2 linked regions of the Oreochromis niloticus genome follow. The protein of the gene in region 1 interacts with the protein of each later gene in a biochemical or structural test. Links are inferred from orthologs where the notes say so. Each region holds a gene or a part of one and is shown in the gene's direction. Other genes may lie near its edges. The genes, in order: gli3 and sufu.

Evidence for each region.
Region 2: the proteins of gli3 (region 1) and sufu are reported together in a solved structure, tested with the Homo sapiens proteins (2 studies listed by BioGRID and IntAct, with this or other methods). The link is inferred for Oreochromis niloticus from reciprocal best matches to the Homo sapiens genes GLI3 and SUFU.

Annotation. Positions count from the first base shown.
Region 1 is NC_031974.2:14,115,317-14,131,369, reverse strand, and holds the start of gli3 (transcriptional activator GLI3), read left to right. Parts: upstream 1-9,700; 5' UTR 9,701-10,142; intron 10,143-16,053. UniProt on the Homo sapiens protein: Has a dual function as a transcriptional activator and a repressor of the sonic hedgehog (Shh) pathway, and plays a role in limb development.
Region 2 is NC_031978.2:18,907,457-18,923,151, reverse strand, and holds the start of sufu (suppressor of fused homolog), read left to right. Parts: upstream 1-8,733; 5' UTR 8,734-8,943; coding exon 8,944-9,092; intron 9,093-9,439; coding exon 9,440-9,574; intron 9,575-9,846; coding exon 9,847-9,983; intron 9,984-12,173; coding exon 12,174-12,316; intron 12,317-13,229; coding exon 13,230-13,315; intron 13,316-13,823; coding exon 13,824-13,896; intron 13,897-15,064; coding exon 15,065-15,221; intron 15,222-15,327; coding exon 15,328-15,430; intron 15,431-15,695. Other genes in the region: mettl18 (histidine protein methyltransferase 1 homolog), read left to right, coding at 1,785-2,753. UniProt on the Homo sapiens protein: Negative regulator in the hedgehog/smoothened signaling pathway. Down-regulates GLI1-mediated transactivation of target genes. Down-regulates GLI2-mediated transactivation of target genes. Part of a corepressor complex that acts on DNA-bound GLI1.

The DNA of each region.
Region 1 (16,053 bases):
AAGAAATGTAATAGAACTTGGACCTCCGCAATTCCAGCCCAAACAGGGAGCCGCTTATCATCCACCATCTCTCCCACAGCTAATATTTCACTTCAGCTCCCAGGCCCACAGAATGAGAGACGTTTCCATTTCATGTCAGTCATTTCCAGGCCTGTGTGTTACCTGTGTGGTGATAAGTGTTTGACTGACTGGGAGTGTCGTTAGTCACTGTCCGGCTCAGAGTGACAGCCACAGATTGACGCTGATGATGAGAGGAGGAGAGGGCCCGGTGTGTTCAGGGACGACAGAAAAACCGGGGTTGATGCAGGGGTGGGAGTGGGTGGAGGGGAGGAAAGACATTGCACACTTATAATGATGAACACAAAGCCATGTGTAGACATTCAGTGCACGACAAGGTGTATTTATTTGCAAAATCATGCTTTGCATAATTCTTGGCTCTCATAAATAAAATCTGCCATTCTTTTTAATGGTGAACAATTACTACCAGTTACACTTGTTTATTATAATAAATTAGATGTATCAAGTTAATAACTGATCTACCTGTTTGGTAACATTTTAATTTTCTAGAGAAAAATTTAATTTACAGATAATCTGACATTAAATGCAGGAATAGGAAAGACAAAGCTCCCTTTTCTATTTTTTTTTACCAGTAAAATTTCAGTTTAAGAAAGAAAATACGGTTAATTTTCAGTTTTTAGAGATAAACATCCAATTTTTCTAATTAAGTGCATATTAAATATTTTCCACCCTAAATTTACAGAATCCTGTGGAGGAACAATCCTACAAATTCTGCATTAACTCTAAGTATCAACTACTTTATTACTCTTGCTTGCTGCAAAGGTTGTTACAGGATAAAATGCAACTGGAACCTTATTCTAGTGATTTCTAATCAACATTTTATGTCCACATTGGGGCAGGAAACAAATCTGGCCCTGCAGCAAAAAATATTAAGCACCCTCTTATTGCAGAAATTAGCTTTTTCGTCATAATGCTTCACCTATGTAAATTTTTATGACTGTCTATATTGAGGGCTCATGCACATGCCAGTTGTTGTTACCACATACGTTGTGATATTATCCACTGTGTGGAGAGGAAAACCTATCCACTGTTCCTCAAGTAATAATAGAAGTATCTCACAAATGAAATTGTAGTGTAAATGCATGCCACTGTTTAGCGTCTGGGATTAAACATCTAATTTGTAGCGCAACACAGACAGGTTTTCTTTTTCTTCTTCTTTTATTTTATATGTTATATATATACAGTGGTAACACCTACATCCTCGTCTTCACGTGCAATTTGACTTTTCACGAATAAAATAAACGCATTTCGGTCATCGTTTTAGTTACCAGCTCCTGTGCTGCTGGCCACTGCCGTGCAGAAGGTGTAAGAGATGCAGTGAGGATGTGGTAAGCGTCTACACCTGGGCTCAAGTCTACACCGAAACACCTGCCACAGCAAAGGTAGTATGGAGAGAGATGGGTTGTGTTTAGGTACATTTCACAGCTCTGATCTCACCACTACTGAAGAGCAAGTGAGACAGCACAGAAGATCTGACGTTCTCCAAGAAACGCAGAACACAGATCTGCCGTGTCCCCTGAAAAAACTGTTTTCTGTTTAGATAAATAACAACTAGCCCCGGCACGCATGCCTGAAATTGTTGCATTTTCTGTGTTTGCTGAGGTGAGTGTGTTGAAATCAGTTTAAAAAAAAATTATTGTTCATAAAGGGACTTCAGCAGTCGTGGTAAAAACCATGTCATGTACAATACAGCTCATGATTCAGTATCTTGTAGAACCACCTTTAGCAGAAGAAGTGATGGTTGTCTGTATGACTTTATCAGTCTCTCACATTATTATTGTTATGTTGTTTCTTTTTGCCATGGCTGTGAGCTCATTAGAAAAATAAGAAAAACAGCACTTTTAGACAGTACTGAGGTCATTTTCCAGCATTTGCCATTCATAACATTGTTGATGTCACACAATTTAAAGCTGACAGACAACAGCAGTAAATACTAACATTCATCCATCTATTTTCTTGCACTTATCCTTATATTATATCCTTATATCCATTAATTATTGAAAAAATACATATTAAAACAATCATATTTTCCCGAGTTATTAAAGAAAACCTCCTTACTAGCAGGTTGTGTTGTACTGCGCTGCTCTCTTCCTTCTTATTCTGTTATACATGATACTATACAGTGCTTAGGTGGTAACCATTAGTAGCACACTTCTTTTTTTAAAGCATTGTTGGGTACTTTGAGTGCACTTTATAGGTTAATAATGTATATTAAACATTTGGATAATACTATCAAATGGCAAACTCACTATACAGTGAGTACAGCTTACATGTCTGTTTTGTTTACCTTTTTAGGCCCCAGTTTAGCTGAAAGTGGGGTTTTTGGAGGCAGCAGGTGCAAATTGAAAGCACAAAATTGACATATTTAATGCTTTTTGTGTTGAACTTAGTAACCAGGTGCTCATTTAAACTTCAAGCGCTTGTGCGACAACAACAGCTTTTATTTAGAATCTAGCTATCTAGCGACTGTGTGTGCTGTTTGATGCCTCTGTGGTGAACAGCACAGTTTTGGAGCATTTTCACTGAAAAGAGCTGCCTGCTGTGAGAGTGCTGAGTGTGAACCCAACGCATTTTTTTTTTTACGCATTGATTCTGTTTCACAGCGTTTCTAACAGCTGCCACTTTAATATTCACTTTTGCACTCTTTTTGCGGACAGGGGAAATATGTATATTGAAAATGAACTCAGACTGTAATTGGTTAGCCCTGAAGAACAAAATAGGTTGTAGTTTGGTTAGATTTTAGTACAGCAAGTGCAATTGTGAGCTTCTTTGCTTTATCATCAGAATCTGCTGACTTTAGCTGCTACTTTGACTGCTCTCTTATTTACAAGGGAGACATGACTCGGGGTAGCTCTGTATGTTTGCTTTGGCAGGCTTTTTACGCCGTATACCCTTCCTGACACAAACCCAAAGATCTGTGTCTCATTTGAGTCTTAAACAAAAAGAAAACTAGAAATATAAAATTGTACAGTTAACTGTTTTGTACTTTTTACTTTGTGCACATGTATGCTTGATTACTGCAGTGCTGTGCAAACATCTAGCTTGAGCCACCCTCATGTCTTTATATTTCATTTCCACCGAGCCAGGCTTTCTTGTCACTTTTAAGGAGGTTTTGAGGAGTAGTTCTCCAGGCTTTCTGAGTCCTTCAAAAATTTTCTTTGGGCAATCTCATTTTAAGTCCAGTCCTTGCTAAACCACTTAACACTGAGTTGTGAGTCTTTTGAGCACAACAACAGTATTGCACTCAACAAATGAACCAATAGATGAGTAAAAGAAACAAAAAAAATGTATCTTTTGACACTTTGTTACTGACAGTCTGCTAGAAAAACACACCGCCTTAGCTCAATCTTTGAAGAATGCCCATAAGGGGATTCCCAGACTTGGCACATCTCTCCATAGGGTGCAGTTTGTCCTTAAAATGTTTGAGGAAACTGGACAAATGAAAGACAGAAGAAAAATGGCTGTCCTTAAAAAAAAAAAAGCTATCTGCAGCAGATGACAAGCATCTGAAAGTCATGTCCTTAAGTAACAGGGGGGAAAAATCCAGCAAAGACCTGACACAGGACCTGAGAGATGCATCTGGCTCTTCAGTTGATCCATCTGCTGTTCACTGAAGCCTCATAACAAATCGTCTCAGTGAGAGGGTGGCTGTCAGGAAGCCATTCTTAAGGAAGGCGAACAGGGAAAAAAAGGCTGAAGTGTGTAAAACTACACAAGAACCGCACTGAAAATCAGTGGCAACAAGTCTTATGGAAAAAATTTTGATTCCACCTGTCATCAGTGTTTGTGGAGCCATGTGTAAAACATGGTGGGGGCTCTGTCATGGTTCGGATTTCAGCCAGCGGTGTTGTAGATCATCAGTAGATCAAAACTGATGGGTGTATAAATACAGAAATGCACCATCAAGTTTTGATCCACCATGCAATAACATCTGGAAAACATCTGATTGAAAACATCTGATCTGATCTGATTGTAAAACTATGTTTGCTATAAACCAAAATTATGGAGGATATATTATCAGTTATGTAGCTTTAAACCATACACATGCCTAAATAGCAGCACTAATCTCTATATTCATATGGTGGGCATGCACAAGATGTTTCTGCTGCACTCTTTAATCAAGAATTTGCACAAATCCAACAGAAAGGAGAATATTGCATAAAAATATTTTGGTGAGAATGAAGCCAGCACTGGCAGTACTTTATAATATAGCTCAAAAATAAAAGAGAAGTAAGAGTAAGAGCAGTAACTTGTTACATTACTGCATTTTGGACCAATGTGATTAGTTATGCTTTGAAATTTATTACAAATGCCAGCCCTGTAATTCCAGCATTTTCAATAGGAATCATGCACTAAAACAGTGGAAAGGATGATGGTTCAGGTATCAGTGAGGACTGATGCTGGGAAGCCTTTCTAAAAGATGAATTACAACAGCATTGTTTTTACTATTAGTCTCACTATGGGCAAAAGTGGAAAAAGGAAAAAAAACAGGAAATAATAAAGCACTACAAGGCCAAGAAGTTCAATCTCTGGACATCTCTGGAACATGTTTTCACCCTCACAGTCTCTACTCGTGCCTTTTACCGCCTCTTCCAAAAGCGAGGCAGCAAGCGGCGAGATGGATGGGCTGAGCGTTGCAAGATTTCCAAAAGCGAACAGAGTCTGACTGCTGCTCTACCTGAGGAGCAAAAACAAAAGAGCCATCTCTACCTGTAGGACTGTGGGAGTCGAGGCTTTGATCTGGACCAGAAAGAGAGAGTAGTTTGATGAAATATTGATGCTTTTTTTTAACTGTGTCCTGTGGGAGCTCAGTCTGCTCTCAGGATGTGTGCGCTGATCCACAATACCGCTGCGTGCTCGGCTGTATGAGAACAGACTTGACCGTGGAGCTCAAGGAGTGTTATCGGCCCTAATGGGCCCGATGATGACCCCCCACTCTGGGCCTGAATTGGTCAGGGGCTTCTTCTACTGATCAAAAGAACAGGTGCATTTAATCAGTCAGCACCCATTGCAAAATACATACACCGCTGATATGTGTCTGACATCTAAACAGAAGCTTGACAGCAAACCTGCACAACGTAAATCTTCATTTGGTGATGGACGGGTAATTGTTTGCCCTTGAAACAAAGGTGCAACAGCTTCAGATGTGCATGCAGTGAGCGCACAATTAAAACTGAATAACAGTGTTGGAAAACTGTTTTTAAATAGCCGGGGATTATTCACACTGAGGCTGTTTTGGCCGAGCATTCAAATACTTATTCAAAGCAAGCATCGTGTAATATCCGACTGGATGCTCGGAAAGTTTGATATAAGCTTGTATGAAAGTGACCCATATTCTTCAAGCAACAACGTCGGGAAAAAAGGAAAAAATCAGAATGTTGATAAATTGCCTAGAGTGCTTTTGTCTGAAAGTTAAGAGGCCAACGAAGCCCAATCAGCCTGGAAAAGAGTGTGAAAAACGAGGATTCATCACTCCCATGCCTACGTCCATGTACAGATAGACGGCGGGGCATAATGACTTCTGTGGAAATAGCAGAACGATTATTTAAACTTAAAGGAAGAGGAGAAAGAGGCAGAGAAACGGGTCGAGTGGGGGGGGAGGAAAGACAGGGTCTTAGGAGGAGCCAGGGGCAGGAGATAGTCTGGGAAAGGTCTCGCGTTAAAGTAGAATTAACATGCCTTTCCATTGGAGTCCATTAGATAATCATATTCATACCACACAAGGCTCCAAAACCTCTCTCTGTTTCATTATTCCCTTTTAATCCAGCCTGATAAGGGGGTGCAGGCGTCGTGGTTTTATTATGTCGTCATTTGGAATCCACATGAAATCCCCACGGGATGTTATCACAGGGAAATTGCTTAAGTAGCCCAAGTGGATATAGTTTTGGGTTTATTATTTCTGACGGATTCAAAATAACTGCAAATATCATTTTTTCCCCCCGATTATTGGGGGCTAAGAGTCTTATCAGTCATTCACACTAATGGCCCACTCAAGCCACCCAATACCTTCCGGCAGGGGGGAAAAAGGAGGGATGCTGAGAGGAGGAGGGGTGTGAGGGTGGGGGGGTTTGGGAGTGCTGCGTTTGAGAGTGTCCTAAGTGTACAAGTGCGTACAGGTACAGTACATGTGAGGAAACTGAAAGCAGGAAAAACAACAACACAAAGAGCGACTGAAAGCGGAGACTTCTGAACAAACTAACATGCTCCTGACGGTAGATTAGAGGCTGCTGGCGTTCTCCTTTGCGGCCCCCAGATCTTCCCTGGCAAACAGAGCAGATGTCAGATTGCTCCTGTCGTTTGTGGTTCGGCACATTTGTGGTCTTGAGGAAAGCAAACACTTTGATTAAATGCATTAGGGCCTTTATTAGACAGACACTACACAGGGAAGAAACACGAGGCAGGAAATATATGGGCAAACAAACCTTTAATTTAACCTTTAATAATGAAATATGTGTAATTATTAAGTCATGAGGGATAAGGTATTCATGTTTACAGTCTTCTTTTTCTGTTTCTTGTTACAAAAAACTCTTGTGCAAAGTCAAACGAGTTGTCAAAGCAACGCTGAAGCAAGATCGATTTTCTCTGCTGGGAGTTTTTAGAAGTTTTGAACATTATTGCAGGATTTTATCAAACTATCCTAAGCTTCTGGAGTCACAGGTTAAAAGGTCAGGCCACTCAAAGCAAAGGAAATCTGTGTTTTTGCTCATTTGCATGTTAAGGTACGTGTCCATACACACACATTTCGCTTTTATACGCATATATTTTTGAGATATATATGGCTCCTCAATAAAGAATAACAGTGCACTGAACTCCAATACTTTGAAGGAGATATAGGGTACCCAATATATAGACCTGGCACTATATACTGTGATGTTTGTCTTAAACTACACCGCTGATGGCTTATTGCTTTCCCTTTAATATCTGCAATTAAATATTTTTCCAGAAAGTGCAGTGTTCTCTTCTTGTAATGATAAAATGGGCAAAAAAATGATGTTTGACTGGTTTATATCAACATGTTTGATAATATGTATATTTTTAAATTTCACTCTTTTTGTAATTATTTTCTTATATTAGGTACAACATGATAAAGACATAAATGCCTGGGCATGGAGTAAAGAACTGAATAGTAAGTTTTGTAACCAAGTAGCCACCAAATGCCTAAGTCTTGGAGTTTAGTGTTAAAATGTTTTCCTTTAATATAGATGGGCTGGTTCCAAAAGAACTGCTAGCCCTTATTTCCATTAGAGAAGATTAAAATACTAATTTGAGAGCATAAAAGGATTTAATAACCTGCACTTTGTGTCATGTGTAGGCAGAGATCAGCAGAGATTTGGTTGCTTAGTAAAAACTTACTGACAACTTTACTCACATTCAGCTCCTCACTACTTCCCGCCTGTGTTTGTCTACAGCCGAAAACACTTCAGATACTCTGTAATCTTATTACAACTTCTCCATTTTGCAGTAAACAGTACAGTCGCCCCTGTCATTCCTCTGTTTCTTGCAGCCGCTCCATTTCCAGCGGTCACATCTGTGTGGATATAATATGCTTATTCTGCTGTATCCATTTCACTGTGACATCTGTCCAGCAGAGACGAATTAAAGGCCAAAAAAAATCCAAATGCCTACACAACACTCTGCCAAGTATTGATTTACTGTTACATGTGTAACATACAGTACGCGGACAAACCGAGCGCTACATTTTATTTCAGTGAGATCATCTGAAACTGGAAACACGCTCTGCGGGGTTGGTGATTATTTGAGAAATGAGCCCAGATGCTGATCTTAAACGCACGGCGCTTCTTCTCGATTGTGAGCCGGTGAAAAGTAAGACTGGGTGCGCAGGGATAAGATGTCTGCATCCCGCGTGTGTGTCAGTGTGTGTTTGTTTGTGAGCACGCCCGAGCGTCCACCTTAGTGAGCGCACCTCCCTGTCTGTAGATCTCAGGGTCTGGAACAAACAGTAGTTCCTTCTTAATTGGGGTGAGAGCTGGGGCTTAAAGAGGGCCAAGAAGGGACCTGAACCCCTTTCTTTCTCCTCCAGAATCGCTTTGGCTACAGAGGCGCTTTTGATGTGTGCTTTGGCTCTGTGAGTCCTACTTTGGAATATGTTCTTGGGAGACCATTGGTTACTTGCCTCCAGGCAGAATCTCAATCCCCAGGATCCTGGCCCTCTTTGATGAAATACTTTCGGGAGCCGCTAACCCCACTGATGCCCATGTGCACCTCCTCCCTCCTCCTTTACCCTCTTGTTCTCCCCTACCTCGCCCCCATCCTCTTTCCACCCTTCACCCCCCCCCCAGCCTCCCACCTCTACTACCACGTTCCTTGGATTCTCTTTGAGAGATTCATAACAAGGACTTTATCTCTGTGTAGTCCGGGCCAGATGAGCACCGCCTGACAAACTGACAGGAGAATTAGCGGCTGTCTTACAGAGCACCTTTGACTGTCTCCTCTCTCGGCCCGACTTCCTGTAGCTACAGACGTGAGCGTTTTCTATTCATATTCTCATACTCCATTCTTGTGCACGTGGAACACTTCTATATTTAGTTTTATGACCTCTTAACCTTGTTTATTTTGTCTGTTTCTCTTTAAAATAATAACTAAACATAAATATCTTTTAAGCATTTTTATGGATGCCAAAGAAACTTGACACCCATGAAAACCAATATAGTCGTTCACACACTCATCATAGTTCACAGTTTTGTCACCTTGCTCCACACTGACATCCGAAATCCATCTTCACATTGCGACAAAGTCAGAATCTCGACACTTTTAACGATGACAAAGACGTTGACAGTTGTGACAGAAGATCCTGAGCTCTGATTGATTGGGCAGTAATTAGTCATTGCCGACTTTATCAGCATAATAAGTGTCAGGAAAGTGATTATAAGGCAGCCTTAAAAGACGGATATTTGTCTTTAAATCAAACGGTTTAGTCATTTGTCACAGCAGCCGATTGGATGTGTGTTACAATGAGGAACAAATAGACTTGACGGACCTGACCTCTCGGCCACACACACACATTCAAATGCTGGTTAAACGGTTGATTTTCCTTCCCAAACTCCCACCTCTTCATTGATTGAAACTGCACCCTAAAGACCTCTCTTACCACATAATTTCCCTGTATATTGATTATGTATATTGATTACACCTAACCCTACAGGAGGGCTTCCCTCTGCTGAAGCATTAGTAGGTATGACTCTGAAGGCTGAGCCCAGGAGGCTGTTTTAGCCCTCATAAATCTGCAGTTAAATGTATGTATGAGTTTCTACATAACAAAGTGGGTGTTTTCAACTGAGATCTATGAGATTATTTCAGTTTCTTTTAGTTAAAACTTGGATCCATTTAACTCTTGGTCCCTAAAATGCAGTCATTCATGCTTAACCTGGACCTGTTTTCCTCTTCTTCGTGGTGTAAGGACTCAAACTTGAGTTTTATTTTGTTCTTTCTCTCCTCTAGGTTTATTTCTACTACAGAAATAGTACTACTGAGGAACAAGTCTTTAAAATGCTTACTAAGGAAGAAAGAAAGAAAGGGGTAGCCTGCACAAAATAAAAAAGGAGTAGGCAGTGAGTAAAGGAGGGAGCAATCCGAAGGGAGGAGTCAAGCGAGGGAAGGAGCAGCTGGAGTCCCACACTTCGCCCTCACTCTCTCTCTCTCTCTCCCTCTTCCCGAAAAAAACCGCTCTAAATGTAATAACAACTCTCCATGCGCTTCTCTGACGCTTATGTTGTTTTTACGCACATCTGCGGTCTGCTATCGGCAGATATTATCGGCAGGCTGATGGTGTTAGTCCGGCGGTGGTTGAACACAGCAAACTGTGAGAAGGAGGAGAAAGACAGACAAGAGGAAAAAGTCTGGCAGCGCCGTTTTGGAGTTGGAGTTGCAGCGTAAAAAAAAGAAAGAAAGAAAAAAAAACTCCCAGGCAACTCCAGAGGCACATCTGCAAGTTAGGAAGAGGAGAAGAGGAAAGAAGACAAATCTATATATTATATTTTTTTTTTTTTGCCTGAGAAGATTTTTTTTTAAAGTCGAGAATTAGAGGGGAATTCACCCAGAGAGAAGTAAGTAATCTGCTGAAAGCTCGCGCACACCGCACACAAATACACTTTCTTTTTCTTTCTGAATATTGTTGCGCTCGTTTGTCTGCTTTTAAAGTTGAGAAAGCCACTCAGAGTTTGTGAAGCAGCGGAGGTTTCATATTTCAAAACGATGGAATTTCATACAAGTTCAGATGTAGACGTGAAGTGCACCAACTGCGAGAACAGTTTATGAAACTAGCGAAGAAAGCCTCGATCAGGGACTCCCCCCCCCTCCAAAAAAAGAAGAAAGAAAAAAATACAGCCGTAAAAGCGTAAATGCACCACTGTCTGTTTTACGCTTGGCCCGGCTGTGATTTAATCTCTGTGAAAGAAGCGTCGGTTGTTAGAAACCCCCGGATGGCAGACTTAACAAGTATCCACCGCAGACAGATGTGCATTTTCAAACCAGTTGCATAAACTTTCATATTAATGAACAACGTGTTTTTGTAAAGTTTAATAAGACAGAGAGAGAGGGGGAAAATCACTCTTAGAGTTTGGAAGTGAAACTTTATTGGACCTCAAATAAGCGCGCGCGGGGGTGTGGTGTATAGTGGCGTGGGATGAGACGGGGGGGGTTCATATATATGTGCATTTGTGATCATATTTCAGGATCTGTTATTGATTTGCTTTAACAAGTGAGAGACTCGGGGAAACACTTAGTGACGGCATACATGTTCAACTTTTTATTTCAATCCATCCAAAACCTGTGGCTGACCCTCCCCTTGACCTTTGACCTCCCCTTGCTTCACTATCGAGCACCGAGTCATTTATAGTTTTGTAAAATTTAATTAGCTGAAAACTTATAACTGGAAAAACTCCAAAAAAAAATTGACAATAAATTATAACATTAAAAAATTCCTCATGAAATTATTTTTAGTTATAAAAAAGGAGAAAATTAAAGTATTTGGATGATTTCATATAAATCTTAGTTTTCCGTGTCTGCATCTGCTAACCTGATGGAGTTAAAGAGGCTCTCCAGAGCTTCTGACAATTTGATTTGCGTTGGAAAATTTTTAAAATGATGTTCTTCCCCTCAAGAAAGAACATATTTAAGCGTACATCACAGTGTGTTTGAAGGCATGCGCATGTGCTCAGAGAAATTTAAGCCCATTACACTGAGGTCTGTGGCCCTGCGGGGGTCCATGGGGGAGGTTTTATGGGGGACCCAAGCAAAATTAAATATAGCATAAATCCTCTGTATTTTAGTTGATTAGAATTTATTAGTATTTAAAAGCTTGTGGATATACTTTAAATGCAAGGTGTCATTTAAAAAGTTACATCAATAATAATAATTATAGAAAGAAGAAGAAGAGTAGAAAGCTCTCACATGGGCTTGTGCAGATTTAAAAAAATGTGGGAACAGGGGAACAGAAGTCTGGTGTGTTCATTTTGGGGGTCCAGGACATGAAAACGTTTGGGAGCCCCCCGCCCTCGAGCGTCCACATGTGCAGATATTTGTTTGAAACTTTCCCTCCTGTTCCTCGCCAGCTGTTCCACATTTTATCTGCTTGTCTGCTCTCGGGTTTCATACAAACGACGAGGGTCCGAGGTGCTCAGCCATGCGGTGCAGCTCAAATCCTCCCTTTTTTTGTGAGTGTTGTGTGTGTGGGGGGGGTTTTTTTCTTTTGGCACATGGCAAATTATTAACGGAGGTTTGGCCGCCTTGAGACGGAGCAGCGAGCGAACGCACGCGAAATAAGATGTTTAACAGTTCACACAGATAAAAAAAAATAAATCTCCTTTCGGGTGTTTTTTATGAGGTTGCTCTCATCATTCATCTTGTCTGAGGATTTGGCTTTGAGCGGGGTTTTTGCAGGTCTTGGTAACATTTGTCCAATAAAATAAAATAGGCACTGTCACATAAACTGTCATTTAATATTTCCCCCATTCTATTTTATTAATAGTAACAAAATAACATTCGCAGGGCCTGAAGCTGGAAAATTTACCACTGCACTCAGTTAAAAAAATAAAAGCAGACAAGTCAGGCCTTAAAAGTCTGAAAATTTTAGGCCTAAGCTTTATTTTAAAATGACAACTTGAAGACAATTTATAATTACATTTTTTTTGCATACATTTATGCATTTTTATGGCCTGTGACTTCTTAATTAAGCGTTTTGAGACGATGCCTGTAATTAAAAATATTACACTGATAAAAAATATAGTTGCCTGTATATCATCATAGGAGGCCCTTGTCATTTTATTTTCAGAGTATAAGACATCACATTTAAATTTGGCGATTAATCAACAATTCAGTGCTGATAGATCAAAATATGTAACATTTTTAAATGGTTAAATCAAGTCAAAAATAATGGCTTCAATTTCTATAGTTACACAATAATCTAATGTATGTAATATATATTTTCCAAATATCTAATAAATAATAAATAATACGCAAGGAAGTCCATGTTGTGAAAAATTGTAAATGATAAATCTGCACACTGTCTGTGTGTATATCTAATTTTGCTGTTGCTGCTTTTGCACGATACTATCTGAAAGTGGTGCACCTTTTCCAAATAAAGGACTTTGTCTCATTACAATGCAGCAGCAAGGATGAATGCAGCACTGTTTAAGATGCTAATCTTCTGGAATGAGATGCACAACTTAGAGCCATTCGCTTACTGTAGCCAGGAAAGATGTATCGTTGCCGCTCTGTGCTCCATAACTCCACGCGCGAGGAAAAGGCGGATAACGTTTCCCTCTGCAGGAATCGGTCCGTCAGATATCAGCGGCGGCAGCATCAGCGTGCCGCTTTATCTCAACTTTAAGCATTTCTCTTTTATGCATGGGGACGTTGGCCCAGGACACCTGTGACCTGGTGACCTGGCAGAATAGGAGATGTCATGTTAATGCAGGGAGATGACGTGCTATTAGCTTTTGAGGTATGGCCTGCTCCTCTTTGTAAGGGCCTTACATTCACAGTTACAGGCAGTTTGTGTCCTCAGGCCTTTTTCACCCTGTTGGAAGTATACCTGTTATCAGGTTTGTATGCAAGAAGCCCTAATGAGCTGTTTTGTTGTGCTAATGCCACAACCTGAAGCACTCAAAGAGGTGGCAAATGTTTTGTTAAAACGAGGGTAATGTGAGGGAAGTTGATTATCCGTTAGATAATGAGCACAGATGTGAAGGTTTTGTGTAATCGTGCTCGCTTTGTGGGTTTTCCTGCAGGTTGCTGTTGGTTTGGTGATTTTTTCTCCCTCGCTTTTTTGTACTTTTCCTAAAATTTCCTGTTTCCTGAGAGGATAAAATTGACAATTCTAAGTTTCATTCTATGTAATAATAAAAATCACCTGACCAGGGAAAGTTGGAGGGATTTCTTGTAGCCTACATTGTGATTAGCTGTTGCTTTCCTTGCATACGGCTGGCGTAGTTGAATAGATGGCCCCCAAAAGAAATCTCTTACTCTCTTACTTTGATGATTTGGTACTTTGATATGTTGACATCAAATGAAACAGACACAGTGGGGAAAGAAAGAGGACAAGTCAGACAGAGGTAGTGATTGAGGGAAAAAAAGGCTGTTCATGAGAGCGGGTGGAAATGTGTGTGTGTGTGTGTGTGTGTAAGTGCAGTTTGTGAGGCACGGAGGAGTGCTCTGAAAACTTGGGCTGAGACAGCAAACCTGAGGAGCGTCAAAATGTCTGGATGCATTTGCGTATGAGCATAGACAAGAAGGGGTCTTCGGGTGTGCGAGGGCTTCTCCTTGGCCTCCTAATCCCCAGGCCCAGCCATCCCTTCAGGGCATGCCTCAGATCTGGCTCTCTGGCTCTGTGCGTGGACGACCCAGCTCCGCCAGCAGATTTAATATGCTATGTGTTCCTGCTCCCCCGGCTCCCCTCCACCTCAACCATCATTGTCCCAGAGCGGGACCCTCACTCGCTGTTTCAAGGAGCCTGCTAAAGGCACCTTTCAAGCCAAGGGGTGATGTCTTTGGATAAGTCGTATGGCGGGGAAGGAAAAATAGTGATGAAGGCGATATGAGACTCGAGATGGGAAAAATGTAATTTCACATATGTATATGAGTCGCATTCAGGGATTGTAATTCACTTGGGTCTTTGGTAGCCAGCAAAAACAGTCCTACTCTGAGTGCACATGCATTCTCGTGCTCATTCACACTCTTATTTCTCTTTCTCGCTCTCTCATTCATACAGTTTTTTTTGTTTTTGTGTGTGTACTGTTCTCCTTCTTACTGTCCTTTTTTGTCTTTTAACTGCATGAAAAATAAAAAGGAAAAAAAGTTGGAAAAGTTTTTTTTGCTATAGCTTTCGTCCTTTGGAAACTCCATTTGGACCTGACAATTTGCCTCCCAGAGTGAGGTGAAGAAAACGGCAATAAAAAAAAATGGTGGGGGTGGGAAAACATTCACATAAATTTGAATCAAGTGGTTCGGATTTACGGTAGATGAAGCTGTGTTTGACAGCTCAACATAAGGCCTGCTGTAGGAGACGGTAAATTTTATTGCGGCAGAAACGCAGGCTTGTGTGCGAGGATCCAGTGGTGTGCCAGCTCGTGACTGGTATTTTCTTTTCTCACACACTTTGGAAGAGAAGCGGGACAGGTCACGCCTGCGCGTGACTGCCGCTCATCTCCTCCTCTGTTTGCTGTAGCTGCTGTAAAAATGTCTTTAAGTCCGCCGCGTGAAGTGTAGCAGCGAGAGGTGAAGTGCTTTTAGTCCGGGGGCCCATTTGTTTGTGTGTAAAGTTTGTGCGCCTAAAGAGACAGTTTCCTGGGGCTCTGGGGTGGTGGCGGGTTTGGTGGGGGCTCTTTCTTAGTGCAGATGTGGCATTGTGTCAGCTTTGATGGGAGCCGGTTGTGGCATCCGTGAGGGGGTCTGTGCTTTCTTGTCAAGGGTGGCGATTGGGAGACAGATGAACTGGCCGCTTGCTGTGAACAATGATCCGTCACGTACCGCTGCTTCTTGATGTGTGGGGCTAGGCTGCACCGAGGCATCAGTTTGGGCACTAATTTTTTTTTTCTCTGCCATAACTGTTTAAACTGAGCACTGTATAGTGCATTTTGTTGCACAAAACACCTGCCCTCACAGCAGTAATTAAGTTATGTGTTGTCATGCAACGATGCTCGCCCTGTGTGTTTGCAGCCCCGTGCTGCTTGTAGTTGTCTTTCAGTGGGAGTTATCGCCGAGCCTTGGTGAGTCCCCGAGTGGAGGTCAAGGGGGTGTCTGTTGTTTGGATGTCACATGTAAATCCCAAGGTTAATACCTGAAAGAAGCGCAGGCCCAGACATTCTCTTTGCTCTCCAAACATGTTTTAGATGAGTACCTCTTTACCCGCTCTGCCCCCTTCGTTTCCGTCTGCCGTAGACTTGGGGCAACTTGGAAAAGGAGGGGCGTGGGGGGCGGGTATCCCGAATAAACCCCTTTAGTGTGTTCTTTTCAGTAATGAATGCTAACAGACTCTGGCTCTAATAATGCCTCATCTTGGAAAAACAAAAGGGGAACTCTACTATCTGAGCAAATTTCTACCCGAACCTGAAAGAGCCCTCCTTTGACAGCGCAGCATTTGAAGACTAATCGTTTTTTCTCATGCAAAGCACGCTGTTTTAAGAGCCCGGGCCACGGAAAGAGAGGGGGCTGTGTTTTAACAATACTCCGCAGGGAGTGAGGAACAGGGTTCGGGGAGGGGAGGTAGGGTTGTAGAGAAGAGGGGTGGGGGGGATTCCTCTCTCCTTTGCTCCTCAGACAAAGCCCGGTTCCTTTCAGTTTTGCATGGGGGGTAGGGTGCGTGGAGAAGAGGAGGGAGCATCCAAGAGTTTGAGTTCCTTGAAAGAGATGGACTTGAGCCGTTTTTAATGACAGTTTGTCACCGTGGCCTCTCTACTTTCCAGGGAATTTGTTGGGCTGGCCGTGCAGTGACAGGCCTGGAAAGAAGCAGGCCTGAGA
Region 2 (15,695 bases), on another chromosome or scaffold:
TAATTTGTGAAGATAAACCTATAGAGGGGCTTCAGTGTAATGGTTAGCACATTCCCTTAACAAACCAAAGGTTGGTGGTTTGATTCCAGCGAAATGCACAAATCCTCTTTGGGGTTACCAGTTAAAACATCCCACAGAAAAAGAAGCCAAATCAAACATGCAGCCCTAAACTCTGCGGTGACCCCTTGTGACGAGGGAGTAGCCAAAGTTAGCTTTAATTTGTAAAGATAAACCTGTCTTATGTTAAAGGTGATAAAGGTGAAAATCCATCCTCACTAAAACACACGGTGTTCAATTAAATGATGCTGTAAATTCTAACAGCATTTCTAACAGCTTTTTAAAAAAAGCAATAAAACTTTTCAATTTTGTGTGCATCCACTAGAGAGCGTGGGCTGTTAATCCGCTTGTTAACATTACAGGATAAGGCATGTTAAAGCGGAAACAATCCAAACTCTTGAAGTACTGTGTGATTTGTTATTGTTATGTCTGACACCAAACTTCTGAGGTATGCAACAGACTTTACTGGCATTTTTAATCTAAACTGTTCAGCTCCACTGGGTTACTACATGAGCATTTACACCTACCAGTCCAGAGAAGCAAACGTCATTTCAGTCACGGTGACTCACATGGCTGATGCATAACATTCTCGTGTTTGAGTGATTTATCAGTCAACTGACCTTTACATCATTATTACAAGAAAACAAATCACAGTGGTAAAAGCGTACTACACCTGGTACACACACACAGAATTGAGTAAATCTTTGTTACAACATTTTAATAGACTAATTAACTTTAAACCAAAGAACAGACTTTTATGTTTTAATAACTGACATTGTTGCATTTTATAGGTCCCAAAGAAGATTTCGCAACATTTATGTGCAGATCTTAGCCATTCTTACAGTAACATCAAGCCATCCCCCATTTTCAGTGTAATTGTCAAAGCGGTTTTAACATCACCACTAGTTATGACATATTTCCATCTTTTTTTCTGCATGCCCCACTTCATCCATCCATATTTTGCTTGAAGCAAGGTTGTGGAACGGCTGGTGCCTATCCCAACTTTCAGAGGGCAGGAGGAAGGGTGCGTTGTGGAGAGGCTACCATTCTCTTACAGGGCTAACATAGAAAGAAAAATAACTACGCGTGCTTGTTTTTACACCTACAGCAAAATTTATAATCGCCAATTAACCTAACATAAAACTCCACGCAAAGCCATGTGTGTGGAGTTTCAAAACCAGGACTTTCTTCCTGTGAGACAACAGGAAGACAGTTAACCACCACGCTGCTGTGCCGCCTGTGCTCCACTTCAGAAAACAAAAAACGTTAGAATGCTACTTACCAAAATATTTGTTACTCATTAACACTAACTTTAATAAATAAAGCTGTGTTTTTGTGAAAGGATAACAGAAAACTCTTGCTTATGTTCTTTTCATAAATAATATTAATTTAGTTTATGTTAACACTATTTTCCCCCTTAATTTGGTAATTACTAGTTAGATAATCAACAAGTCACAAGTGACAGATTTAATGAATCTCGTAAACCTAAAGGTCCAAAGGTGTTGTGGTCATTTAAATCTGACAGTGCTAAAAGTTGTTGCCTCAAGTGGCACATTTTATTGCGTATGTTAATTATACTTGAAGCACTGATATTATTAACATGAAACACATGTTGTCTTTGTGGTTCCTTTATTGTCTATTCATGTCACAACTTGTGACCATCACCCACATACATTGCTGAGGGAGTGGTTTTATTATCAACTGTGCATACTGCTTTCTGTTTGCAGGTAGAGGACGGCGCCAAACCAGCACAACCAGTAAAAGAGGCCAGCGAGCACTTTCCGCCATCCGATCCACAGTTCCTCCTTATGGATGCCGTCTTTGAAACGGTTACAGTTGGAACTCTTCCTCCTCTGCACTTCCTCAATGAGACCGTTTTTGAGAAGACTGCCTCAGAGAGAGAGGACAGCGAAAAAATTCTTTCACGCACAGCAGAGCAGAAGTCTGACCTCATCTCTGGTGTGTACGAGGGAGGGCTGAAGGTGTGGGAGTGCACGTATGACCTTCTGGAGTTGATTGAGAAAGATGGAGAGACCTTTGGGGGGAAGGCGGTTTTGGATTTGGGCTGTGGCGCAGGGCTGCTGGGAATACTGGCTCTGAAGAGGGGAGCCAGTCAGGTCCACTTCCAAGATTATAACAGTACAGTCATTGAACAGCTCACAGTGCCAAATGTAATGCTAAACTGCCAAGAGGATGATGAAGTAGACAGTGAAGATGACAAAGAAGGGAGTGGTAAGGAAAAAATGAAGGAGGAAGATGGTTCTAAAAAGAAGGCAAAAGGGCAGAAGGAGATTACAGAAAACAGCCCACCTCCTAAGAAGCAAGCCATAGACTTAGCCCAGCACCCATTACTAACCAGGTGTCATTTTTACTCTGGTGACTGGAGCACATTTCTCGCTTTGGTTCTAAAGACAGATCCACCACCCAAATATGATCTTATATTCACATCAGAGACTATCTACAACACTGCGTACTACCCTGCTCTACATGAGACCCTGCACAAACTGCTGGCACCAGATGGTCTGGTCTACCTCGCCACCAAATCCCACTACTTTGGTGTAGGTGGTGGACTACATCTCTTTGAAACATTTGTGGAGCAGAGGGGTGTTTTCTCTGTGGATCGTCTGTGGGATGGAGAAGAAGGACTTCAGAGACATGTGGTAGTACTGCGTTTTAAAAAGTCAAAGGACGCTTGAGTAAGGAATGTCAGGAGCTCATCGGTTTTATCTGATTTATTGATGAAAAACTGAATGAAAATAAAAATTAGAGCAAGGCTATTGCTTGATTATTGTGTGCAGTCCTGAATCAGCCAGCTGTGTCGTTATGACTCCTGTCTTTATTTTGGTACGTCAAAACTGCCGTGGTTAAACAAGGAAAAACTGCAATAAAAACACAGTCTTGGCTCATATTTGCTCTTTTGTTACCTACACCTTCTTTCACTTCCTATATCGGAATTTGAATATGTCTGCCAGTAACTGAAGTGCAGTTGAAAGGGGCTGTTACAGGTCTTTAGATGCATGGAGAGGAAAGAAAGGAAATGGGCTCAGTGACCTTTGCGAGTGATTTCCCCAGTGTTCAAACACCAGCATGAAAGCCAGGCTTGTTTCTGAAGTCCAGCACAAAATGTCAATTGCAACTTATCCCACCAGCCCAAGGATGTAGTTTGAAAGTGGATTCTGGAGTCACTGAACATCAATGGTGGGACTCTATGGGGTCTCTGTAGCTCTTATTTTACTGGTTTCCTTTCAGTGAAGTTCACTACATAATCTGGCAACAGTGCAAAATTTAAAAAAAACATTTTTGAAAATGTCTAGACATATGCCTATGCAGGAAGTATGGGCAAATATCCATCCAAAATCAAGAAAGGGAATTTTGCTGTAATTTTTCCATCTCCGTGTGGAATCCCCTTTTTGTCCAGCTCAAGGAAATCCGTCTACTTTTTTTCGAAAAGGGCTTTTTTTCTGGGGAAGTATGCCTCAAGTCCAGACCAGTTTCTCGCATTTGAGGTGACTACATAAGAGGATGAGGAAGTCAGAGGGTTTTCACAGGGTCATTCGACAATGAAACTGAATAACACTGCCTGATGTGTTGTTCTGAAATTGTCATTTTAGCCTGCCGCCCCGGTCTCATCCGTGTGACTAAATACAACCTGTACGTGTGTCGTGTTTGACTATGATCGGAAAGCAAACAAAGGTTCTTTTATAATACAGCCCTATCAGACCCACCTGAATAAATGACTCCAGCTACACAAACATTCTCAAGAATCAATCTCATCCTAAACATACCCGTGACGTCAGCACTGTAGAGAGACCCGCTGATAAAATAATATTTAGCAAAGATTAAGAAAAAAGAAAAACTTCTAGGAAACATAATGTCACCAGCTCTAACATGACTGTGCATTTCAACACCCACAGTGTGTGGACAGAATTTCCAGCGGCTTATTATGTAAATATACTGTAGTGTTAAATGCTATTTCACTCAGAGAAACATAAAATACACCAAACATGGTTTCTGTTTGCATATGCCTGGCCGGCAAACTTCCACTGTGTCCGCTTCGTCATCGTCTCTCATCTCGACAGCTGTTCAGGGCCTGTGGGGGAATTCCTGGCCCCTCCAGTAGACACAGCCTTTCCCCTGCTTACTTTATGGGAACAAGGGGGCAGGGCAAGTCAGATGGTTTTCCTCAGAAACTATTATGTGTTGATTCACTGTGAGGGGGCGTGTTTTACACTCCCACTGCTTCCTTCTTACTGGGAAGTGACTGTCAGGCTTACCGTACAGAGGGAGTGTATGAAAAACAGAGAGGAGGGAGGATGATGGGTGATGTGAAAGGTGGCAAGATATTTAAGTGCTTCTTTCTCTGAATGTCAGACAGTATGCTGCATCCATCCTTGGGACCTGGAGGACATTGGGGAGCGAGCAGAATGTGCAGGTGATTTGAGGAGGAATGTATATTTGCCGAGTTTGAAGAAGCCTGCTGCTTTCTTTCTGGTGAGATGGGACTGCGAAAGTGTGTTTTTTTAAAGCTTGACTATGAAATAATCCTGGGAGGCCTTTATGAGGAGGTTTGTTTATGACATAACCAGGATCAGGAAAGGAAATCAATGAAACCAAGGTAAGTATATTAAAAGAAAACTCTCAGTATGGTCAAATCGAGTGTGTGGTTTTCAAAAAGCTTATAGAAAATGACATGTTTTTTTGGGTGTGTGTGGGGGGTGTTGAAAATTTTTTAAATAGGTCAAAGAAATGCTAACTTCTTCATTCTTTGAGCAAAAAGCAAATGAAGGCTTTTAAACCTGCCACACTGTGAAAATTTTTTGATGTAGACTTTTAAGAAACAGTTAATGATCTCATAGGGGATTGGCCTTGTCTAGTGATAGGCCGTAGAACCGGTTGTTTCCCAGTCCAACTGCCGGAAAGATATGAGTTTCCTGAACATACTCAGGTGTGGCCTTCCTTCGAAAGTTCATCGTGCTGTACTGTACCTTAAAAGAATGCACCATCATAATGGATAAACTGCAGTGATTGAGATAACACAGACAAATTATCTTCACTGTATCTTCACTGTCAATATTGACTCCAGGCCTTGGGTGGTGGTGGTGGGGGGTTTCTTTCTTTTTCTCTTGTTAAATAAAAGAGGAGAATCAATTACAGTGCAGGTCAGTTAATATCAAACTTACTTTGCAGGGTTCAAAGATACGTCGACTAACTGTATGTCACTAATCACACGGTCCTAAAGCGCTTTTACTGGGAGTGTACTGCTGTAACTGATGAGTCATTTCATGCCTTGACCAGAGCACTATCACCACGATCTGATTCAGTGCTTCCAGTGGACAGACTTGCATTTCAGTAGTTTTGAAGCATTTCCAGGAACACAGATGAAAAAAATAAAAACCAGCTGGATTGCTCAAATGATCCTGAAACTCTCCATATGTTCTCTAACCACAGAATCGTTTCCATTCTTTTGGAACTTGTTTCCCACTTTACTTTCATTTTCAACTTATATAAAAACACCTCTTAACCACTGCACATTAACAGCCATTTTTTTTTCTTCATACGCCACTTTGTTAAGCAAATGTTAAATGTGACTAATCCCTTCAGTTACCACAGTAATGACCTCTTGCTCAATCTTACACTGGAAGAAGTACAGCTGACGTTATCATTTCATCATTACCCAGCCTTTCTTCAGAAATTGGGATCGGTAACCTAACCCCAACGTGCTGCTCAACATGTGTCACTTAACTGCAGCCCACATTTATTGTGAAGTTTTTAGAGTTAACTAATTTTATTATTCTTATAGTTGGCTTTTTTTTTTTCTTCGTTTTTTCATTATTTAATGGGAGATTTAATGAGATGTGAAAAGAGTTAGTGTTGAAGTATGAGCTGTGTAAATCAATAAAGTCATTCAAGGATCCAGAAGTGCCCGAGGAACAGATTTTAATGTGTGCTCTACTATGAGAACTGAATTCCATAGATGGTGACATCTTCAGGTGTCATCTATGGGCTCAGTTCTTCTGGCATGGTACTAGTTTGTCAGCCGTACAGCACAGCACCAGACTGCCGAAGTTACCGCCGTGTGAAATCAATAAAATAATGCTTGGTGTTACGTTTGTATGGAGATTCCTGTGAATGATGAGTTACTTTTTAATTGCACATATTATTGCTGTGAATAAAGCATACTTTTTGAAATGACTAATGTGTTTCTCAGTATTATTATAAAGTGTCATTATGTATTGTTAATAAACCCAATCAAAAGTCAACCATATTTGTGGGGATTTTATTAATTAATAGCAATTTTTTAAAAGGAAAAATTAAGGTAAAAAGTACGTCAGAAAGTTCAAGAGCTGCTCTGCTACGTATTTAATGCTAACATAATTTTACCAGCTCTTGCAGCATTTCGGCATTATTAAGCTACAGCCATGTTAAAGTTAAAAATGTTAAACACACACACACACACACACACACACACACATATATATATCTGTGTGTATGTGTGTGCGTATGTTGCCTCTCATAAAAAAATGTATGTTTTAACTCCAACATGGCTATAGCTTAATAATGCCAAAATGCTGCGAGAGCTGGTAAAAGTATGTCAGTATTAAATATGTGCTTTCTTTTTGACTTAATTAATCGGTAACGTAAGTTTTGCCTTTGGTGCAAAAATCTGAAGTATAACTTACAAAACACCACGTTTTTGTGTAGTCGTTCAGGACGGGAATACTCACCTACATATATTGTAGTTATGACACACCAGAACAGGTTTAAAGCAACTCATTTCTGGTATCAGCGTTGGCAACTCAAGTTAAATTAAGCAGTGTAGTGTTACACTTGGTGGGAATGAAAGAAGTACGCAATTTCTATAATACTATTATCACTAAATGACATTATGATGTGGGTCTTTGTAACCAGCACTGAAACAGTAAATATCAAGTGAATCATAGTGCTCACAGGGCTGCCACATCATTACATCTAAGCTACATTCAAAACGAAAGTGTATTAGCTATCTTTTCCTCTTCTTATCTACGCCCCGCATAAACCATGCCCCCTTTTGTTAATGCACCGTCCTTTTTAGTTTTAATTTGTGCCATTTGCAATGGAGGCGTTCTCTCAAAACAGCTCCCAGATGTGTCTCTGAAAGTCAGTCTGGAAAAAGCCATACACTCTACACAAAGTCTTTTGATAATGTCTGGAAGCGTCATGACAGGACAATACATCATTTCCAACCTCACCGAAGAAATCTCCCATTTTGGTGTGTGTGGGGGGTGGGTGGGGGGTGAGTCCTTCAGGCTATACTCGTTTCTGGGACTTGTGCCACAGTGGTTAGAGTGGGACTGAAATCATGGAGAACATACTATACTAGATTTGAACCAAACTTCACTTGGATTAAACAGCATCACAGGATACAGTTCTTTAGGTTGTTATATAATATGTAGCAGTAGTTACTAGTGTGACACTGCATGTGATAAGGCACAAAGAACATATGTGCAAAAAAGGTTGCCACCTCTTAGTGATGAGGAATCTTTAGATAATGTATTTACATTTATTTATCACTATTATATACAGCATTACTATGCTATAACACTGTGTTTTGTCATTAATGCATTCACTCTATTGAAAGAAATGCTTATGTAATGAACTTGGTGTTTCTTTAGAAATGTAATAGCTCTTTGGATTCATACTTTTTTCAAAAAGAAATAATACTTCCCTCCCTTCTTGTTATCATTCATTTAGAATCCAGGAAAGCTTCTGAAATGAGAAAAATCTTGAATAATCTTTAATTACTATTCACTGGAGATGTGCACTTTCATAACAGATAGTCCAGATTATGCTGTGTTATAGCCCTTGATATGTTTGCATTTTTATTCAAAACATGGAACACACAGTGTAGTGTCTTAGTGACTGCTCAGTCATGGTCACATCTTAACTTGTTGGCCTCTTCAAAGTAATTACGTTTTTCAGGCTGATTTTGATTGAAATCTCTGACTCTAACTGATAAAGTAAACACTTTATCAGAACAGTAAAAGTGTCTAAACAGTGGGTGGATGGTTATTGCATGGGCGTAAAGCGAGTAACTACTTTAAACACGTAAGTTGATTTTAAAGGCACGTCAGTATTTCTGTTATATGATATGTTTTACCTTACCTTAGTTCACACAAAACTAATTACTTTTGGAGACTATCATTTTACAGGACATACAGATTAAACAGTAAAAAAAAACAAAAAAAACAACCCAAAACGTTTGAATTATTTCCATTTAACACATTTAACTGCAACTGAAAAAAAAATCCTAAAATTTAATGCAAGACTTTTTACAAGGAAATAATTTAACAAGTAACAGACAGTACATACTCTATTTGAAAGGTTTTTTGCTGGTTATATTCTGTACATACACGTCACATGGGAGTTAAAGGATTTTTTTTCTCAGCAAAGTATTTGAATGAGTTTCTACTTTTTTGTTGGCTGTTTTTTGTTTTTTTGTCTTTTTAACTACCTAGCCATAATTTGCCTACTTAAAAACGTTAATACCCCAACCCTGAAAGTGCATGTCCCCTTAACTGTTTGATAAGTATCATTTCAGCCAATTACATTTATCCACAAATTCACACAACCGTTATCTTTATTTTCATTGGCTACAATATGCTGCCAGTCACTGACGCAATGGCCTTTCTCCAACCAATGGTAAGGTAGTTTCTTTGTAAAGGATGAGCAACAGGCGACTACCGAGTGGGGCAACAGAAAAGAGTTTATCTTTTGTTATTACACAGCAGTACTCGTCTGAAGCTTTTATGGTTTAGTTTAGCCTAATTTTGAACAAGTGGTAGTTGCCATCGGTAACTGTATATACGTTGTTTCTATAGAGTAACCCGGTTTATTCGAGGTCGTGGCATGGATGAGGTACGGCCTACCAGTGGTGCACAAGCCCACGGGCTGGTGCAGCTGTTTCCTCCTGGGCTGCAGGCTATCTATGGGGAATGTCGGCGACTTTATCCCGAGCAGGCAAACCCGCTTCAAGTAACAGCTATTGTAAAATATTGGTAAGTAACCCATATTGCTGTTTCTCGTCTGACATGCGTGCGGGCATTAAATTTGTACAATACATTTAATCTAATAATGGCTAAATATTAGCCTAGAACTAGCTTAGCTTCCAAGCTAACATTGTAGCTAACCCAACATCCAGAAGCCATACTGTAGTTACTGTTATTCGGAAAGTTTGAGAATTTCTCTTCTAAGCCATACTGGCTTAAATCCAGCTTTTGAAATGTGTCTCACTACGTTTATACGTATAAATGACTTCCATTGTAACCCAGATGTCTTTACATTGGGGTGTCCACTGACAACAATAACAAAACTGTACATGCTTCTCATTTTTTGCTTCTCATAGGCTTGGTGGACCAGATCCGTTAGACTACATCAGTATGTATAGAAATGTAGGTTGTCCAGCTCAGGACGTCCAGGAGCATTGGCACTATGTGAGCTTTGGACTCAGTGACCTGTATGGGGATAACCGTGTTCATGAGTAAGTACTGTGTGTCAGTAACACAAATCTTGGTTTTTAAACGCCCCTCTGTGTGACCGTTTATTGAATGTGGGAAGTCATTTTGACCCATACAATATTTTAGTTATCAGCCCTTTACTAAATGTCCCCTCCTGACCAACTGTGAACTCTGAATAGTTTGTTCATCTCAATAAGTATTTGGCTTTTCACACCCCTCATGCACATAAGAATAACACAAAAGTATAAGTGCTGACATTTTGTCAGTCCATCTTCTCATAAAGTTTGTTTGTCAGATTTACAGGGCCAGATGGACCAAGTGGGTTTGGCTTTGAGCTCACTTTTAGACTCAAAAGAGAGGTGGGGGAGACCGCACCTCCAACATGGCCAGCTGAGCTCATGCAAGGTTTGGCTCGCTATGTCTTCCAGTCAGGTAAGGGCACAAAGCAGTTTTGCAATTTAAAAAAATGTTTGCATGGATAAAGGTCATATTAAAAGACAATCAAACAGAAGAATTGGAAGAGGTCAAAAACTTTATTGTGGGTAGTTTTGCAGCAAAAATATTTGTAGTAGTGAAGTAGTACAGGGCTGATACTAGAGACAACCATTCATTTCATACTAACATTCATGCTTAGGGCACCACCATGCTGCCATCTTAAACAACAGAAACAAACTATATTAAGTTGTGATAATTCATCAAATTGAATGCCTTTCAGATTAAAAAAGAAATGTATTTTCATAAATAAATTTTGTTTTATTTTTGTTGCTTTAAACATTGTATAGAAAATAACTGAATAATCAGCAAAAGACTGGTTAAGTGGTTAAAAAAATAAATAGATCGTTGTACTGTGATGTCATATTTATATCTTGACGTGAGTGCTGTCTTTTGGGATGTCTTTTCCATTCATAGAGCACCAGGTGTCACTCAAAGAGAATGGAAATAACGTGACTGTTATACTATTCCTTTCACTATTACCATATCTCAAACAAGTGTAGCGTCTGTGGGAGATTTTTAGACTGACGTGTTTCGCCTCTTTCGGACATGCTTACCCTTCCATTAATCTTATAGTGTCATGTTGGGTTCATATTTGAATGTGCACCCTGGTCAGTTCGCCATGAAGATTGAAACTGCAGACTTACTGCAATCAGACCTAGTTAAGTTTATATATTGTAAACATGACACAGTCTAAATTGTGAGTTGCATTAACACACACAATGTTATGACTGTGCATGTTGCTGCAGTTAATACCTTTTAGAACTTTCAGCAAAGATCAAAACATTCATCTTTGTTGCATTTTTGCTACATCCGATCTATAGGATACATCTCTGATCAGATCAGTGTGCAAGAGTTTGAAATAGCCGCTGTAGCCTTTTACAGTGGACAAAAAGCAAAGATGGCTGGAACTGAACCACCAACCTTTCACTTGCCACTGCACTGTGGGGCTGATATCATGGTTCTCTTATTACTGATCTGAATAAACAGTATCAAGACAGCCACTGAAACAGAAAGGTAAAGTTATTCCCGAAAGAGGGGATAGCTTGTTAAAAGAAATGCATATCATGGCTCTGGCAGTGTTCCAGAGATTTGAAGAATCTACGTAATGGTGCACTGATACTGGTTGGTGGCACATGGTGGCCCAAAATCTGACCAAGACACTTTGCTGTTTTGTTTTGTTTTTGTTTAGTTTTTTTTCCATTTTGCAGCCATCTGTAAATTCTTGGTCATTCACTTAACAAATTGTAACACAGTGTACTTATTTGTCACAGTTTGTTTGCAGTCTAGCAAATGATTGATCTGCAAAGTTTTAATGTGATAACTCTCTATTGGCCAAGCAAAAACATTGTGGTGTGCCAAAGAATGTGTTCTTTGTAAAGGTAGCTTGAAATCCCAGTGATGCATGTAAACAAGCTTAACTAGAGGAGTCTGCTCTGGGCATCATTTATGTGTGTTGTAGCTCTGGGTATTCAAAGGACATCTAATTTCCCTTTTGTTATCTTTTGCTGTTTTTAGTAGGATTGTTTTCACAAGTTACAAACAAAACAGTTGTGGTAGTGTGAATATATGTACTCTGCATGGGTGTATACACTGTTGCTAAGTTCCTTTGAATCCAACATTTGTGTAAATAATGTAATTTGATAGACAAGAAGGGAGCATGCAGAAAGTTTTTACTCCAGACTCACCTCTACTCAGTCCTTCTCTGCTTTCCAGCTGGGGTCAATTTGTGTGTGGGTGGGCTAGGCCCCTAAGCTAAATGAATGCTGATTCCTGGCCATCTACCCCCCTCTCGTTTCTCCTGAAGCAAGTCTGGCGTGGGCGCATGTTACCTCCCAAACAGTCAGATTAGCTTTGACGGAAATGTAGTTTTTATGGTTTTCTTTCCATATTTGGGTCTCATTTTGACTGTTTTTCCTCTTACTCACGCTACCTCTTTTTCTGATCTGCCTCCCCTCTTCTCATGTTGCTGGACCTTTCCGTCAACGTTTATGTACAGTCAGATGATGAAATGTAGGAAAGTAAGATTGTATGAGCAGCCATGACAGGGCGTCTGCTAGACAAATTATAATCCAATGATTTGTTATTATTTAAAAAATAATGTCTTTTTTTTTCTCTTCACTTATGCAGAAAACACATTTTGTAGTGGTGACCATGTATCGTGGCACAGTCCACTAGACAACAGTGAATCTCGTATCCAGCATATGTTGCTTACAGAAGACCCACAGATGCAACCAATTCAGACGCCATTTGGCACAGTGAGTTTTCTCCAGGTGAGTTTTTAATGTCACTTGTCACTAGTGTAATCCACTTGACAGTAGGCTCCAAACGATTCTGTGTCGAGCTATTTAATGTAAGATTTGCGGTATTGCGTTTGTGTCTCTTTGAGTAGGTTTTTGCTGGGTTATGCAAACTATGTAAACATTGTTGTGAAGTCCTTCAAAAGTCCAACAGCAGAGGATAGCGGTGGCTGTAGCTCAGGAGGTAGAGCAGGTCATTTACTAATCGGAAGGTTGGTGGTTCGACTGGCTGTTCCAGTCTGCATGCCAAATATCCTTGGGCAAGATACTAACCTCAAGTTGCTCTCAGATGCATCGGATGGAAAATGAATGTCTGTGAATGTTAGCTAGAAAGCACTTCCGTGTGCTTGTGTGAATGGGTGAATGAGGCAAGTTGTATAAAGGGCTTTGAGTGCTCAGGCAGAGTAGAAATGGGCTATATAAGAACCAGTCCATTTACATTTTACATAGCTTAATGTCGATGATGCTGTTCATGGCTCACATAGTTGTTGGCTTAAAAGTGGCAGCAGAGTTCAGTGTGAACAGGAGACGCTCAGAAATCAAAGATTTAAAAAAAAGCCACAGACAGGTGGCTACAATGGATGCTTTTTATTCTTTTGTTTTTTTAGCTGATATTACTGCGTTTTTCTATGGCTGAAGGACCAACAACGAAGAGTAGCTTGCAGACCTGTTGTTTGTGACACCGCCCCCTTGTGACGGTAAACGGTTGCAACAGTTGACTGTAGGCAAATGAGAAGAGGAACACAGTATCAAAAATCCATCTTGAATTGTCAGATGATTTTTTGGCAGTTATTCAATATTATGTAATGTTACCCAATATTAATAAAATATGTATGGGGTGTTTTACAACAGTTGGTGTAAAAACCATAAAATTTGTCTCTTGTAGATTGTGGGAGTATGTACAGAGGAGCTGCAGGCGGCCCAACAGTGGAATGGACAGGGTATCCTGGAGCTGATGCGTGGAGTCAGAGTGTGAGTAGAACTGTGTAGCAGGTGATCTGGTCAAAGCTAGTTTTACGTTTTTATTCTGTTGCTTAGCTTGGATTTACACGTAGGTGTTGATTAGTCAGACCCTACGTGTGATTTTTCTGTAGAACTCTCATGAAAGTCATCATTTGAAGTGGAAAGTATAACTTGACTTTAGCATTACACACATATTTTTTCCCTTTTTAGTTCACTCCATATCCGGCAGAGAAAATCTAAATGATTGACCTGCTCAGACACAGTATTTTTCTCGTTTTTCTTTCTTTCTTTTTTTACAGTTGCCTGTAAATGGTCAATCATTGAACTTGTAGGAACTGAGTTGAATAGAAACACCATTATGTGAATGCCACTTTGTTGTAGATTGTGTGCTGTTCAGTTTGAGTACATTGTGAGCAGCAAGTGAAGAGCATAGTTACTTGTTAATGTATTAACTTGGTGTGTTTAACTTGGAGTTAATGCTGACCTGAACTAATGGTGATGCTTTTCCTGTGCACAGAGCCGGTGGCCCCTGGCTAATCACTGACATGAGGAGAGGAGAGACCATTTTTGAAATTGATCCACAGCTACAAGTAAGCTTTACTCAATTCTGCACCATGTTGCTTTTATACAGTATGACATAAAGAGGCATTTTTATGGTCTTTAATTATTTATTTATTTTGTGTTCTGTTTTTGGAAATGTTTGTCATGGAAACGTAAGCATTATCAAAATCTACTATTTTATATATTTTTAATTTTTCTGTAAAGAGTTAAGCTTAGTGTGACTCAAACGAAACCTGTTGCCACTATATAGAAGATCAGAACAAGTAGCACTGTCTTGCGTCCTGTGGCTCTAGAGCAGGGATGTCAAACTCACTGTCAGGTAGACTCTGGCCCCCCAGGCCTTATGTTTGACACGCCTTATCTACAAAAAGCATACAATAGGGTGTGAGCAGGGAAACTGTGGTACTGTGTCAGGTCGTCAGCAGAGGAGAAGAAGTATTTGAAGGTAGTGCAGGACATTTATGAAGACAATGAGACAGGGGTGAGGTGTGCTAGATGGAGTGATAGATGGGTTCAAGAGACCCACTCTGTTGGTGGAGAGGGAGTGGCACTAACAAAAAGACAAGAGGCTGAGCTGGAGGTAGGAGAGCTGAAGATGCTAAGATTTTCTTTGAGAGTGACCAGAATGGATAGGATTAGAAATGAGCATGTCAGAGCAGTTTCAAGACAAAGTTAATGAGGCAAGGCTGAGATGGTTTGGACATGTGCAGAGGAGGGATAGTGGATGTATTGGACAAAGCATTTTAATCTAGGATATAGAGCTGGCAGGCAGAAGGAAAATGGGAAGACCACAGAGAAGGTTAATGGATGTAGTGAAGGAGGACATGCAGAGGGTTGGTGTGACAAAGGAAGATGCTTGTGATAGGGTGAGATGTTGGTAGATGGTCTGCTGGGGCGGCCCCTAAAGGGAGCAGCCAAAAGAAGTAGTAGTGGTTGAAAAGAAACCATTTGAAGAGCTAATTGGTACTGGTCAATGATTTGTTGATATTGGAAGCAAAATCTTGTACAAAGCACTTTAAAGGGAACCTTTTCTTTCCGTATGTTGTTGTTGTTTTTGGTTTGTTTTGCTGTTGCAAGTTTTATCACCTCTTTTTTGCCTGTAGATATTTATGCATCATTTTCATTTCTGAAGAAGTTGACGTTGTGTTTTATGTGAGCTTGTGTTGACGATTTGTGTATATTCCTTGCCTATCTAAGCAGGAGAGAGTGGACCAGGGTATTGAGACAGAAGGCTCGAACCTGAGTGGGGTCAGCGCCAAGTGTGTGTGGGACGATCTGAGTCGGCCGCCAGAGGATGAGGAAGACAGTCGATCAATCTGCATTGGATCACAGCCACGCAGGCTCTCAGACAAAGGTATGCCAACTTCCAAAGAAGCGCATACGATAGATACTCAAGCTGAGCAGAAATGCCTAACCTAATGAAATAATACTTGTTTCTGTCTTTGTTTGTGGGCTGACAGACACAGAGCAGATCAGGGAGACTCTGAGAAAAGGACTGGAGTTTAACAGCAAAGCAGCCCTACCACCTATCAACAGCCAGAAGCAGAGCCACGAGAGACCGCAGTGAGTGTTCCTCCTACACTCCAGCACTCACAATCTTAACATGGGTTCAGCTCAGCACAAGGGTTGCGCCAGGATAACTCCCTCCCTCTTGTGCTGTGACTCAAATCCCCAGTGACATCTGAACTATCATCACCGTTCTTTCTTAGCTACCAGCATATTATGTTGGTGTGTTGCTATTCTGTTGCTGTTTTTCTGTGGAATTTTGGGTCTTCTGCTGTATCAGGTAACTGCTTCATGAAAAGAGTTGCGAAATCTGTGTGTGTGT